Linked DNA regions of Anolis sagrei. The protein of the gene in region 2 binds, or shares a complex with, the protein of the main gene of each other region. Links are inferred from orthologs where the notes say so. Each region holds a gene or a part of one and is shown on either strand. Other genes may lie near its edges.

Evidence for each region. Proteins that work in one complex are often made in the same cells at the same time.
Region 1: SNRPG (region 2) and PLRG1 share a complex: the UniProt entries of both Homo sapiens proteins name them as parts of the minor spliceosome. The link is inferred for Anolis sagrei from reciprocal best matches to the Homo sapiens genes SNRPG and PLRG1.

The regions. Positions count from the first base shown.
Region 1 is NC_090025.1:52,016,707-52,024,155, forward strand, and holds the start of PLRG1 (pleiotropic regulator 1), read right to left. Parts: upstream 3,024-7,449; 5' UTR 2,873-3,023; coding exon 2,864-2,872; intron 1-2,863. UniProt on the Homo sapiens protein: Involved in pre-mRNA splicing as component of the spliceosome. Component of the PRP19-CDC5L complex that forms an integral part of the spliceosome and is required for activating pre-mRNA splicing.
Region 2 is NC_090027.1:20,748,038-20,755,276, reverse strand, and holds the start of SNRPG (small nuclear ribonucleoprotein G), read right to left. Parts: upstream 3,026-7,239; 5' UTR 2,928-3,025; coding exon 2,896-2,927; intron 1-2,895. Other genes in the region: protein FAM136A, read right to left, coding at 6,178-6,366. UniProt on the Homo sapiens protein: Plays a role in pre-mRNA splicing as a core component of the spliceosomal U1, U2, U4 and U5 small nuclear ribonucleoproteins (snRNPs), the building blocks of the spliceosome.

The DNA.
Region 1 (7,449 bases), on a different chromosome or scaffold from region 2:
GGGATCCCATCATCTCCTGCTGCCTTGTTGTTAGCAATGCTTCTTAAGGCCCATTCAACCTCACTCCTCAGGATGTCTGGTTCTAATTCATTCACCACACCATCAAAGCTATCCTCGATATTGTTATCCTTCCTATATAGATCTTCTGTATAGTCTCGCCACCTTCTCTTGATCTCTTCAGCTTCTGTTAGGTCCCTGCCATCTTTGTTTCTTATCATACCAATTTTTGCCTGAAATTTACCTCCAATGTTTCTAATTTTCTGGAAGAGGTCTCTTGTCCTTCCTATTCTGTTGTCTTCTTCCACTTCCATGCATTGCTTATTTAAAAATAGTTCCTTATCTCTTCTGGCTAACCTCTGGAATTGCGCATTTAACTGGGCATATCTCCCCTTTTCACTGTTTCCTTTTGCTTTCCTCCTTTCTTGGGCTACTTCCAGTGTCTCAGCAGACAACCATTTTGCCTTCTTGGTTTTCTTTTTCTTTGGAACGTACTTTGTTGCCATCTCCTGAACAATGTCACGGACTTCTGTCCATAGTTCTTCTGGGACTCTGTTTACTAAATCTAGTCCTTCAAATCTGTTCTTCACTTCCACTGTATATTCGCTAGGAATGTTAGTGAGATCATATCTAACTGGTCTGTGTATTTTCCCTGATCTCTTTAGTTTTATTCTAAATTGGGCAATAAGAAGTTCGTGATCTGAGCTGCAGTCAGCCCCAGGTCTTGTTTTCACGGACTGGATGGATGTCCGCCACCTTTGGCTGCAAAGGATGTAGTCAATCTGATTTCGGTGTTGACCATCTGGTGAGGTCCATGTATAAAGCCGTCTTTTAGGTTGTTGGAAGAGAGTATTCGTTATACACAGCGAGTTTTCCTGGCAGAATTCTATCAGCCTGCGTCCCGCTTCATTTTGTTCTCCCAGACCATGCTTGCCTGTGATCCCAGTTGTCATTTGACTTCCCACCTTGGCATTCCAGTCTCCTGTAATGAAAATAATGTCTCTTTTTGGTGTATTATCCAGTAGGTCCTGCAGATCCTCATAGAACTGATCTACTTCTGCTTCTTCAGCAGCTGTGGTTGGGGCGTATATTTGGATCACTGTGATGTTGAAAGGCTTTCCTTGCACTCGAATTGAGATCATTCTGTCATTTTTTGGGTTGTATCCAAGCACCGCTTTAGCGAATTTCTTATTAATTATGAAGGCTACTCCATTTCTTCGATGTTCCTCTTGTCCGCAGTAGTAGATCTGGTGGTCATCTGATGTGAAGTGGCCCATTCCAGTCCATTTCAGTTCGCTGACCCCCAGAATGTCTATCTTTAGTCTTGACATCTCACCAATAACAACATCCAATTTGCCCTGGCTCATAGATCTTACATTCCAGGTTCCTATGGTGTGTTGATCTTTAGAGCATCGGATTCGTCGTTCACCTCCAGTACCGTCGGCCGCTAGCCTTCCTTTCGGCTTTGAGCTAGCTGCGTCATCACATCTGGGGCTAGTTGAACTTATCCTCTGCTCCTCCCCAGTAGCATTTTGGCCATCTTCCGACCTGGGAGTCCCATCTTCCAATGGCATACCGACATATCTCTGATTGTACTGGTCCATTTAGTTTTCTTGGCAAGGATACTGGAGTGGTTTGCCATTGCCTTCCCCAGGGATCACGCTTGGTCTGACCTCTCTGCCACAACCGTCCCGTCTTGGGTGTCCCTTCACGGTTTCGCTCATGACATCATTGAGGTGCTCAAGCTCCAGCGCCCCGACAAGGCGGCGATCCTTTGCTGGAGCCTTCTATCTTAACGTTCAGGAAACATGTGAAAACTTGGCTTTGGGGATTGGCTTTCGACGAATGAGCCATGACCCTGTGATATGGATGGATGACGACGAATAATGATTTTTGATGACGACTGACCACTGTAATCATATGACTGTATTTTAATGTTTTAGTGTGATTTAGAATATGATGTTTTAATGACTGTTTGCAATATGGATGTTGGAAACCAGCCTGAGTCCCTCGAATGGAGGTGAGAATACTGCTAAATTTTGTGTCAATTTGTCCAGTGGTTTTTGAGTTATGTTAATCTCACAAACGAACATTACATTTTTATTTATATAGATAATTACTACTTATAATATATAATAATATACTGTACTCTTATTGTATATTTGAATTTGTAATATTTTTGATTGTGAGGCACTTTGAGTCTCCATATCGAGAGATAAACCAGGATATATATATATAATTATATATATATACACACACACAATTGGTTTGGGAGATTCTGGAGGGGTGGGCAGACCGGGGAAGGAAGATATTGCAACTTTCGTTACCAGCTGAGCGTCTCTTATCCAGAATTCCTGAAATCCAAAATACTCCACAATGGTCCACATCAATGGCTGAGACTGTCACCTTCATACACTTTAATTATTTAAAATATCGTAAGCAAAATCACCTTAGGCCTATGTATAAGGTCTATACAGAACATAACTTAATTTCTTGTTTAAGCTTGAGAGATCTCGCTGCTTTTTTTCAGTCTAAGCCAGGCATGGGCAAACTTCGGGCCTCCAGGTGTTTTGGACTTCAACTCCCACAATTCTTAACAGCCGGAGGCTGTTAGGAATTGTGGGAGTTGAAGTCCAAAACACCTGGAGGCTCGAAGTTTGCCCATGCCTGCTCTATGCTGTAAATACAAATTATTCCGAGTGAAAACACGCCCAAGTGGAATAACAGATAGCAACGAAATACTCCTGAGACAATACAGAAACCACCAGCATCCTCCCGCGCCATCCCTTAAACTGGTCTTCATTCCTTAAACTCCGGCAGCCCGGCATTTCAATGCCCGGCCAAGAAAGAGTCCTTTTTCCCTCACCTCCACCATCTTGTCGTCTCGTCTCCACAACTCTTCCCGCCACAACGACCCAGCTCCTTCAGCAGAAGCCTTCCAGATCCAACGCCGAACCTACTTCCGTTAGTCACCACAGAGCACTTCCGGTGCTTTGGAGGTTTTCTTCTTTACCCTGAAGGAACTGACGACACTCTTCTCCGCAGCGCATGCGCAGAAGAACCATGCGGTCTTAAGTGGCGGGGAAATGGGGCGGAGTCCGGATCGACTACGTCATTCGCTCAAGGGGCGGGGCTTAGGTGAAGCCAAAATAGCAAAAGTGAGTTGTAAGTGGTAGAGATGGAGTGTCCTGCAGTCAGTTATTATTTGTATACCTTTTCCCTACAAAACAAGGCAATTCATCATTCTGGAATGTTTTTATTCCCATCCCCAAAATATATACAGTCTTAAAAGTATATAATTCTGGATTATATTTCTTTATTTTGCACTTTGCTCTGAAAACATTTAAAAAAATTGGTTCCAGACTGATAAACTTTTAAGAGTGTGTGCAAATTATTAAATCCATTCCAGAATAGTAAACTCTTAAGAGTGCATTGCATTATTATTATTATTACTACTATTTTGTATATATAGCAAAATTTAAATAATGTATAGTTTGTTTTAGGTGTATTTAAGTGTAACATCTATATAAATAAAAATGTAATGTTCGTTTGTGGGATTAACATAACTCAAAAACCACTGGACTAATTGACACCAAATTGGGACACAATACACCTATCAGGTCAACAAGTGACCATCACTGATAAAAAACACCTTAAAACACAGCAGAAGAGACTTAAAAAGACAGAAATAAGAATTACATTATACACAAAACCACATATATACACAAACTCACATATATACACATATACACAAACACCGAACTTGGAGGACAATCTTACTCGGACAAGGAGGGATCGCCTAAGTAAGTAAGTAAGTAAGTAAGTACACAAACATATATACACACACAAAACACATATACACAGACTGGGCCACAGCAACGTGTGGCCCAGGGGATGGCTAGTGTGTTTTATAGAAATTCATTTTATTGTAATTACTTAGGTGATCCCTCGTCCGAGTAGGATTGTCTTCCAAGATGGGTGTTCTGGCAGTGGGTTCGTAGGTGACTGTGGAGCCCTATTCATGATCTGCATCTTCTCCCACGGTGAGGGCATTGGTTTCCAGGTGGAAGGCGGTCCTGGTTGGGGTTGGCTTGACACGCCTTCCTCTTAGCACATTTCTCTCTTTCGCCCTCCATTCATGCCTCTTCAAATTCTACAGCAGTGCTGGTCATGGCTGACCTCCAGCTAGAGCACTCACGGGCCAGGGCTTCCCAGTTCTCAGTGTCTATGCCAGAGTTTTTAAGGTTTCATTGAGCCCATCTTTAAACCTCTTTTCCTGTCCTCCAACATTCCCTTTTCTGTTCTTGAGTTCGGAGTAGAGCAACTACTTTGTGAGACAGTGGTTGGGCATTCGGACAACGTGGCCGGTCCAGCGGAGTTGATGGTGGAAGACCATCGCTTCAATGTATTTTTAGGTTGTTATATTTGAAAAATGAACAATAAAATTATTTACAATCTTTATGTGTTACAATTATACTGTAACCCACCTTGAGACACAAGGAGAGGCAGGTAAGAAATAAAAATATATTATTCATTGGGGGGGGGGGGATTTCAAATAAATACATTCCTGAATTAAAAACTATTAAAAGTTGTGCACTTTTTGAAACAACAAGAAAAAAAATTTCCAGCATGATAAAATGATAATAGTGTCTGTATTTGGGGAATGGGGTGCAAATAATTAAATCCATTCCAAAACAGTAAACTGTTAGGAGTGTACCGAATTTTCTTTAAAAATGGAAATTGTTTTTTATATTTATTCAGTCGCTTCCGACTCCTTGTGACCTCATGGACCAGCCCACGTCAGAGCTCCCTGTTGGCTGTCACCACCCCCAGCTTCTTAAGAGTCAAGACAGTCACTTCAAGGATACCATCCATCCATCTTGCCCTTGGTCAGCCCCTCTTCCTTCTTCCTTCCTTTTTCCCCAGCACCATTGTCTTCTCTAAGCTTTCCTGTCTCCCCATTATGTGGCCAAAGTACATCTTTCTCTCTACTATCCTTCCCTCCAATGAGCAGTCGGGCTCATTGGAGGGAATGGTGCTAAAGGTGCTAAAGAGAACCTCTCTTTAGAATGGTGTAAACAACCTGATGTGGGGCTTCCAAAACCAGATGTGATCCTTTTTCTTCAACTGAATAGATCTGAAGCAGCCAAACGAGGAGACTTTGGAAGTGAGTGATATGAGAACAGCTCTTTTCAAGAGAAAGTTCTGCAGTGCTACTATGATTTGATATGGACTGGTTGGATCTTCTTGTGGTCCAAGGCACTCTCAGAATTTTCCTCCAACACCAGAGTTCAAAAGCGTCTATCTTCCTTCGCTCAGCTTTCCACATAGTCCAGCTCTAGTATCCATATGTTACTTTGGGGAATACCATTGCTTTAACTATTCATATCTTCATTGCCAGTGTGATGTCTCTACTCTTCACTATTCTACCGAGATTGGTCATGGCTCTCCTCCCAAGAAGTAAACATCTTCTGATTTCCTGGCTGCAGTCTGCATCTGCAATAATCTTTGCGCCTAGGAATACAAAGTCTGTCACTGCCTCCACATTTTCTCCCTCTATTTGCCAGTTATCTATCAGTCTTGTTGCCACAATCTTGGTTTTTTTGATGTTTAACTGCAACCCAGCCTTTGCACTTTCTTCTTTCACCTTGGTTAGAAGGCTCCTCAGCTCATCCTCGCTTTTGGCCATCAAAGTGGTATCATCTGCATATCTAAGGTTGTTAATGTTTCTTCCAGCAATTTTAATTTCAGCCTTGGATTCGTTTTTTGGAAATACATTACAAAAAAATTTAATAATGTATGGTTTGTTTTAGGTGTATTTAGGTATAATATGTTCATTTTATAGAAATTTATTGTATTGTATTTTTACAATGTTTATGTGTTTCAATGACACTCTAACCCACCGTGAGACAAGGAGAGGCAGATAAGAAATAAAAAGTTGTGCATTTTTTGAAACAACAAAAAAAAGAAACTTCTGGAATGATAAACGGAGAAAGAGAAGGCGAAAGATCTTGTAAAAGTACAACTTCTGTGAATCTCTAGCATCGAGTCCTGGCAGTTAAAGTGGTATCAGTGTAGGTAAACCGTTATTCAGCACAATTCTTTTTTTTTTTTTTAACCATCTGGCCCTGGAGCTTTATTACTTTTGGCAGATCGTATTGCCTCTTCTATTTCTTCTATTCTGATTGTTTTTTCTCATGAGAGCTGCAGAGATGTGTGTGTGAATGTAGGCATGTATGCATATGCATATATATATATTTGCATGATTTTAAACTTAAGCCACAAAAGGATGCTAACTCTAGCAAACCCTCTGTGGCCCCTTCCACACAGCTAAATAAAATCCCACATTATTTGCTTTGAACTGGGAAATATGGCAGTGTAGTCTTAGTTCAAAGCAGATACTGTGGGATTTTTTTGCCCTGATATTCTGGCATATAGGGCTAGATTGGGATGCAGAAGCCATGGCTGCCAGATTACTACCAGGCCCAATTCAAAGTGCTGGCTTTGGCCACTAGCTGCAGTGACAACCTCTGAACAGAAGAGTGCATGAGATAGCTATTAATTTGACAACTTGGGAAAACTAACAGATATCAGATAATCAAGTGGTGGAATTGGTCCTCTTTGAATTACATTTTAGAATGTAATGTCCTACACATATTTTGGAAAAGTGTGGATTAATCTCAAGTAAGTGTGTATAGGATGCCATCTTCATTGTTTCCATAGTTGTGATCCTATTCATATTGTGTTGGAAGTAACTTGAGTAATTGAGAGTTCAGGGTGCATGTACACTGTAGAATTAATGCAGTTTGACACCACTTTAACTGCCATAGCTCAATGATATGGAATCAGGGGAGCTGTAATTTTACAAGATGTTTTGCCTTCTTTACCAATGAGTGCTGATACCAACCTACACTTCCCATGATTCCAGACCATCAAGTCATGACACGTGTGTATACCCATCAACTGTACCCTCAGTTGATGGGTATACACACTTGCAAACACACACACACACACACAGACACACACATATACACATACAGGCAGTCCCCAAATTCCAAACAAGATGGATTCTGTAGGTTTGGTCTTAAGCTGTCCCATCCCCCCTAAACACACACACACACACACACAACCCCACCAGACCAGACTTAAAAACCCAAGAAAAGACACCATATATACATATACACATACACTCATATACATATACACATGCACACATTAATACACACATGTATATATATGCACAAATACACACAAATATACACATATACACACATATATAATACACATGCACATATACATATGCATACACACAAATTTGCTTATAGACAAACACACACATACATAATATGCATGTACACATATAAATACACAAATATATACACACACATATATACCCCCACATATATACAAACACACATATATAGACAAATATATACACACAAAACACATATA
Region 2 (7,239 bases):
CCCACACCCATCCCAACAAACCCCACATCATTTTCTCCTTGTTCTCCCTTTGTGACATATTAGAAGCCTTGCAAGTTTGAATAAATATGATAAATGCTCTGGAGCCACAGTGAAAAGGGGAAGCCAGAAAGACAGAGTTCCACCATGTCTCCTGGGTCATCAGTTGGGAGCCCCTCCCCCCCCCAGCAACAATATAGTAATACATAATACTAATATTGTGCTGTGCTAATATTATATATTGTATACACATATAGTATTGATAATGTTATAATGTAATGCAATATAATATTAGTAATGCAATATAATATTAGTAATACATTATAACAATTATATATTTCATATTGCATGTAATATTACTAGTAATATTACAGTATAGTGGTATAGTACAACATAGTAAGATACAATACTAATATTTATTTATTTATTTATTTATTTATTTGCTGCATTTATTAACCGCCGTTCTCAGCCCTTTAGTGCGACTCACGGCGGTGTACAATATATAAAAGACAGTTTACAATCAAGCCATAACAACAAAAATCAATATATCACTAATACACAGTTATCTAATTACACTAAAAATCCGCTCCGTCTTATAGTAGAATCATAACCAATCTCGTAATCCATATTCCGTTCCAGTTGTCATTTCCAGTTACTGTAGCACTCAGTTAAATGCCTTCTCAAATAGCCATGTCTTGAGGCTCTTACGGAAGGACATAATATTGTGCTGTGCTAATAATATACTATTATTATTTATATTACAGAGTCCCCTTCGGGGTGGGATAATATAAATAAAAATGTAATGTTAATTTGTGAGATTAACACAACTCAAAAACCACTGGACGAATTGACACCAAATTTGGACACAATACACATCAGGCCAAAGAGTGACCATCACTCATAAAAACACTGAAAAAACACAGTGGAAGTGACTTAAAAAGCAAAAAAAAAACCAAAAAAAAAACATTACAATGCATGCACATAACCACGCAAACACACACATATATATACAAAAATACAAATATATGCACACACAAAGCACAAATACACAGACTGGGCCACAGCAATGTGTGGCAGGGGGCAGTTAGTATTTCATATTTATTGTGACCTCTTAATAATAATAATAATAATAATAATAATGTATTGTTGAAGGCCATGAAAGGCCGGAATCACTGGGTTGTCGTAGGTTTTTTGGGCTGTACGGCCATATTCCAGAAGCATTCTCTCCTGACGTTTCGCCTGCATCTATGGCAGGCATCATCAGAGGTTGTGAGGTCTGTTGGAAACTAGGTAAATGGGATTTATATATCTGTGGAATGACCAGGGTGGGACAAAGAACCTTTGTCTGTTGGAGCTAGGTGTGAATGTTTCAACTGACCACCTTGATTAGCATTTGATGTCCTGGCAGTGCCTGGGGCAATCTTTTGTTGAGAGGTGATTAGATGCCTCTGATTGTTTTTCCTCTGTTGTTTTGCTGTTGTAATTTTAGTTTTTTTAAATATTGGTAGCCAGATTTTGTTCATTTTCATGGTTTCCTCCTTTCTGTTGAATTTGTCCACGTGCTTGTGGATTTCAATTTATTTATTTGGGGTTCTTTTACCCTGCCCTTCTCACCCCGAAGGGGACTCAGGGCAGCTTACAGAGGCAAGGCACAATTTGATGCCTGCATCATAAAAACAATCATACACAAAATTACATCAATTCACAGTTGACAACAATTCATGCATTATAACCATAAAATCAATAAAACCAATACAAACCCAATTTCTCCTCTTACATGGTCAACGTTCGCTAACTGATAGATCTAGTTTTACGTTCCACTTCATCAATCCTGTTGATCTTACTCGCCTGATTGTCTGATTTAATTGCCAAAGTGCCCAAAGGCCTGGTCCCATAACCACGTCTTCACCCTCCTCCTGAAGGCGAGGAGGGATGATGATGCCCTGATTTCCCCTGGGAGAGAGTTCCACAGGTGAGGGGCCACCACTGAGAAAGCCCTGCTCCTCGTCCCCACCAGCCTCGCTTGAGACAGTGGTGGGGTCGAGAGCAGGGCCTCCCCAGATGATCTCAAACTCCGGGGTGGGGCGTAGAGGGAGATACGTTCGGACAGATACACTGGACCGGAACCGTACAGGGTTTTGTAGGTCAAAACCAGCACCTTGAATTGTGCTCGGAACTGAATCGGCAGCCAGTGGAGCTGACACAGCAGGGGGGTGGTATGCTCCCTGTATGTCGCTCCAGTGAGCAGTCTGGCTGCCGCTCGCTGGACTAGTTGAAGTTTCCGAACAGTCTTCAAGGGCAACCCCATGTAGAGAGCGTTGCAGTAGTCTATTCGGGATATAACAAGAGCGTGGACCACCGTGGCCAGATCAGACTTCCCAACTTGTGCACAACTGGTGCACAAGTTTTAATTGTGCAAAAGCTCTCCAGGCCACTGCTGAGACCTGGGATTCCAGGCTCAGCGATGAGTCCAGCATCACTCCCAAGCTGCGAACCTGAGTCTTCAGGAGGAGTGTAACCCCATCTAACACAGGCTGTAACCCTATACCCTGTTCCGCCTTACGACTGACCAGTAGGACCTCTGTCTTGTCTGGATTCAATTTCAATTTGTTAGCTTCTGTGTTGGAAATTAGGTAAATGGGGTTTATATATCTGTGGGATAATGCCCAGGGTGGAAGAAAGAACTCTCGTAAATCAATAAATAGAAGCTTTGCAAGTTTGAATGGCTCTAAGTTTTTCGTAACTCTATGGGCGAACCCGGTTGGAGCAATGCATGCTGGGAAGCGAGTAGGCCCCAACCGGCCTAGCGGTCTTCCTCAGCCCGCTTCGTTCCCGACTCTTTCGCGTTCAATTCCCGGCCGCCCCACTGCCCCGCCGGCTTCCCGGGCCTTGACTCACTTCTTCAGCTCGGGCGGGTGCGCTTTGCTCATGGTTCCTCTTCACACGCCGCTTCCCTCACGCTCTCCGAATGTTCTCCTTCGCCTCAGCCAGCGTATGACGTCACGACGCTTCGCCCTACCAATCAGGAAGAGGCCGTCGCGCAAGCGCAAAAACTTGACTAGAGGAGGAAGACATAAACCCGCCTCACACTAACAATCAACCAATCGCTGCAGGGAGGAGAGCTAAGCTCCACCTTCACAGTCCTGTCTTCCAATCAGAGGTCTAGCAGATGAAATCCCCGCCCACTCGTTTTTAGAGGAACCTCCTTTTTTCCCAGAGATCCGGGCGGTCCTAATGCGCGCCCTTTCCTTTGTAGCAGCACGTGGGAAAGCTCAGATCTTTTCAGTGGATGAAAATTCATAGAATCAAAGAGTTGGAAGAGACCTCATGGGCCATCCAGTCCAACCCCCTGCCAAGAAGCAGGAATATTGCATTCAAAGCACCCCTGACAGATGGCCATCCAGCCTCTGTTTAAAAGCTTCCAAAGAAGGAACCTCCACCACACTGGGGGGCAGAGAGTTCCACTGCTGAACGGCTCTCACAGTCAGGAATTCTGGGATCCAAGAAAGGATCTTTTCCGAAAACTGGAATATGGTTGCATAACCATATAGGGACACCTGAAAGAATTCTAGATAAAAATAGGATCATCTTTAATGTGGCATATACATGCACACAATATATAATTATCTACATATATAAAAATGCTCTGTGCATAACGAGTATCTTTAAAACAAAAGAACCAATGAACAAAATCACACCAAATTTGGCAAGAAAATGTCTCACAACACAAGGAGTGAGCATCACTCAAAAATTATGATTTTGTCATTTGGGAGATGTAGTTGCTGGGATTTATAGTTAACCTATAATCAAAGAGCATTCTGAACTAAATCAATGATGGAATTTAACCAAACTTGGCACACAGAATTGCCATGACCAACAGAAAATACTGGAAGGGTTTGGTGGGCACTGACCTTGAGTTTGGGAGTTGAAGTTCACCTATATCCAGAGAGCTGTGAACTCAAACAATGATGGATCTGGACCAAACTTGGCACGAATACTCAATATGCCCAAATGTGAACACAAATGAAGTTTGGGGAAATAGACCTTGACATTTGGGATTAATAGTTGCTGGGATTTATAGTTCACCTACAATCAAAGAGCATTCTGAACTCCACCAGCTACTGCATTGGGGCAAAACTTCCCACACAGAACTCGCAAAACCAACAGAAAATACTTAAGGCTATCCAGTCCAACCAGGGAAAGAAAACGTAATCAAAGCCCTCCTGACAAAGAGCCATCCAGCCATAGATAGATATAGATATGATTCACACACACACAGAGATATAGTATCATAGATTTGAAAGGGACCCCTAAAGACGGACAATTCTATGTTGCATGTTCCAGAGTAGGCAAACCAGACACTCTCCACATCAACACTGACAAAGAAACAATTAGAAATACTGTTTACCCACAAGCATAAAGAGATTACATATATTAGAAACCAATACTTTCTCATTACTTTATTTTCCAGATCAACAGACTGGGCCACAGCAATGTGTGGCAGGGGACAGCTATGCGCAAAATCAGGTTATATATATTATATATTATATGTAATACACACACACACACACGTGTGTGTGTATATATATATATGTATATGCACATATATATTTATATATAAAGTAAAAAGGATAATATATATATAAAATATACATATACAAACATATTTGTGTGTGTATCCATATATGTGTGTGTGTGTGTGTGTGTATATATATATATATATATATATATATATCAATGTGAGTGAGTGTGTGTATATATATATATGTATATGCACATATATATTTATATCTAAAGTAAAAATGAAAAATAAGTAATAGTGTATGGTACACATACACACACGTGTGTGCATGTGTGTATATACATGCATCCAGATATAAAAGTGCAAATACATATATATTTCAGTTGAATATATATTTATTTGCACTTTTTATTTATCATATATATATATATATATATATATATGATAAATAAAAAGTGCAAATACATATATATTGAACTGAAAGTGCAAAAAGTAGGCAATATCAAATTTTATATGTATGTATAATATTAATATATATTATATTATAAATTAGTATTTCATTTATTATATTATGTATAATTAAATATATCAAATTATATATGTCTGTAGATATTGAATATAATATTTAAAATAAAAGTGCAAAATCAGGCAATTACAATAAAAATATCAAGTAGAAGCCAAGGTGGCTAAACCTGACCATATCATTTCAAAAAAAGAATAATGCTTGGAAAGGCCAAAGGAAAAGAGGAAGATCTGTGGATGATGGGATTATTTGAGGGACTGCCATAAATTCATGTCAATTTGACAGCAATTAAATAACAACTTCAATCCCTTAAATGCAAGGCTTGTTTCAGGTGAATATGAAGAATATCCAAAAAAATAAATTCGGAACACAACACGCCTGAAATCCCAGCAATGTAGAGTTTTCATGTTTTTTTTATTATTATTTAAATTCTTTAGAAAATATTTCAGTTTAAAGGGAAGGAGGAAAATATAGGAAATCGGAACAGCATTGGTGATTGTCAGTCCCAGGAGTCGTTCCCATTGGAACAAAATGCAACCGAATGCGTAAGAATGGCCTCTGAGCAGCTATACATTTCACAGCTTTCATTCATATTCTCCATCTTGAATGGCTGTCTGCACAATCTAAGGGCGTCCTCATTCTCATTGCACTTGTGCAGCATTTAAGTCTACACTGTTGAATTAATCCAGTTTGATACCACTTTAAATTCCAGTGGCTTGATGCAAAGGCATCTGGGGAGTTTGCAGTTTTGAAAGGCCTCCAGCCAGGCAAATTGGGGATTCACTGAAAAACAACTCCCAGGATTCCATCACATTGAGCCATGGCAGTAAAATTGCTGTTAAACTGCATTAACTCTACAGTGTGGATGCACCTTTGCTTTGTTTTTTTGCGGGGGAGATGTGGATATATCCATACCTATTTTTAATTTTGCGTACCATGGGTTAGGTACGGGATTTCAGACAGCACCAAAAGAAAAGGGCCATTTCTTTCCTCCCCTCCTCTCCATCACAGGAGAGTTTCTGCACTGTAAGGAAATCCGCCACCAACTCTTTTGCATTGTTGCCTGCTTCTGCATTTGCGGCCAGCTCCATTGGGATCTCCGCTGCAATCCCTTCTGCCTTTCCCTTTTTTTTTTCTATTGCGCAATCCCAGCCAGGTTCTCCTTCATCTTCTTGGTCATGCTGGGGATGAGGCTGAGGTGGTCCTCCACGCAGCGGGAGACGCAGTTCTCCAGCTGGGACTTGACCTGCGGCTCCTTGCTGCCCGAGTCGAAGGCGTCCTTGGCTTTGTCGTTGCAGTGCATGGTGCAGCGAGCCAGGCGGTCCTGGGGAAAACAGGGAGGGAGAAGTATTATTATTGGGTTACTAGCTGTCCCCTGCCATGCGTTGCTGTGGCCCAGTCTGTGTATATGTGTTATGTGTATATGTGTGTGTATATATATGTGTGTGTGTGTATATATGTGGTTTTGCATATGCGTTATAATACATTTTTTGTTTTTTGGCTTTTTAAGTCCCTTCCGCTGTGTTTTTCAGTTTTTTTTATGAGTGATGGTCACTCGTTGGCCTGATAGGTTTATTGTGTCTAAATTTGGTGTCAATATGTCCAGTGGTTTTTGAGTTATGTTAATCCCACAAATGAACATTACATTTTTATTTGTACAGATTACTAGCCATGAGGCAAGTGGAGTGTTTTTAATATCTATCTATCTACCTGTGGAACTATATCCAGGGTGGGAGGAAGAACCTTTGTCTGTTTGAAGTGTGGATGTTGCAATCAGCAAGCTTGAATAGCATTGAGTGGCCTTGCAGCTGCAAAGTCAATCAGTGAGGGTATATGCACAGAGGGAACCTGGCCTGTATTGCCTGTAGGCACCCTCTGTCTGGGAGATGTTCAGTGGTCTTTGTTTATACACTGTGGAATAATGTCCAGGGTGGGAGAAACCCCATATCTTTTTGGAAAAAGTGTGAATGTGAGCAAGCTTGAATAACACTGAGTGGCCATGAAGCTGCAAGGTCAATAAGTGAAGGCATTTGCATAGAGGTAGCTTGGCCTCTGTTGACTAGAGGCACCCTCTGTTTGGGAGGTGTCGACTGGACACAAAATATTATTTGAGAACACAGAAACCACTCCGACAACCATCAGGTTAGACTATACAGAGAAGCCATTGAAATCTATATTTCTGTTGATATTATTATTC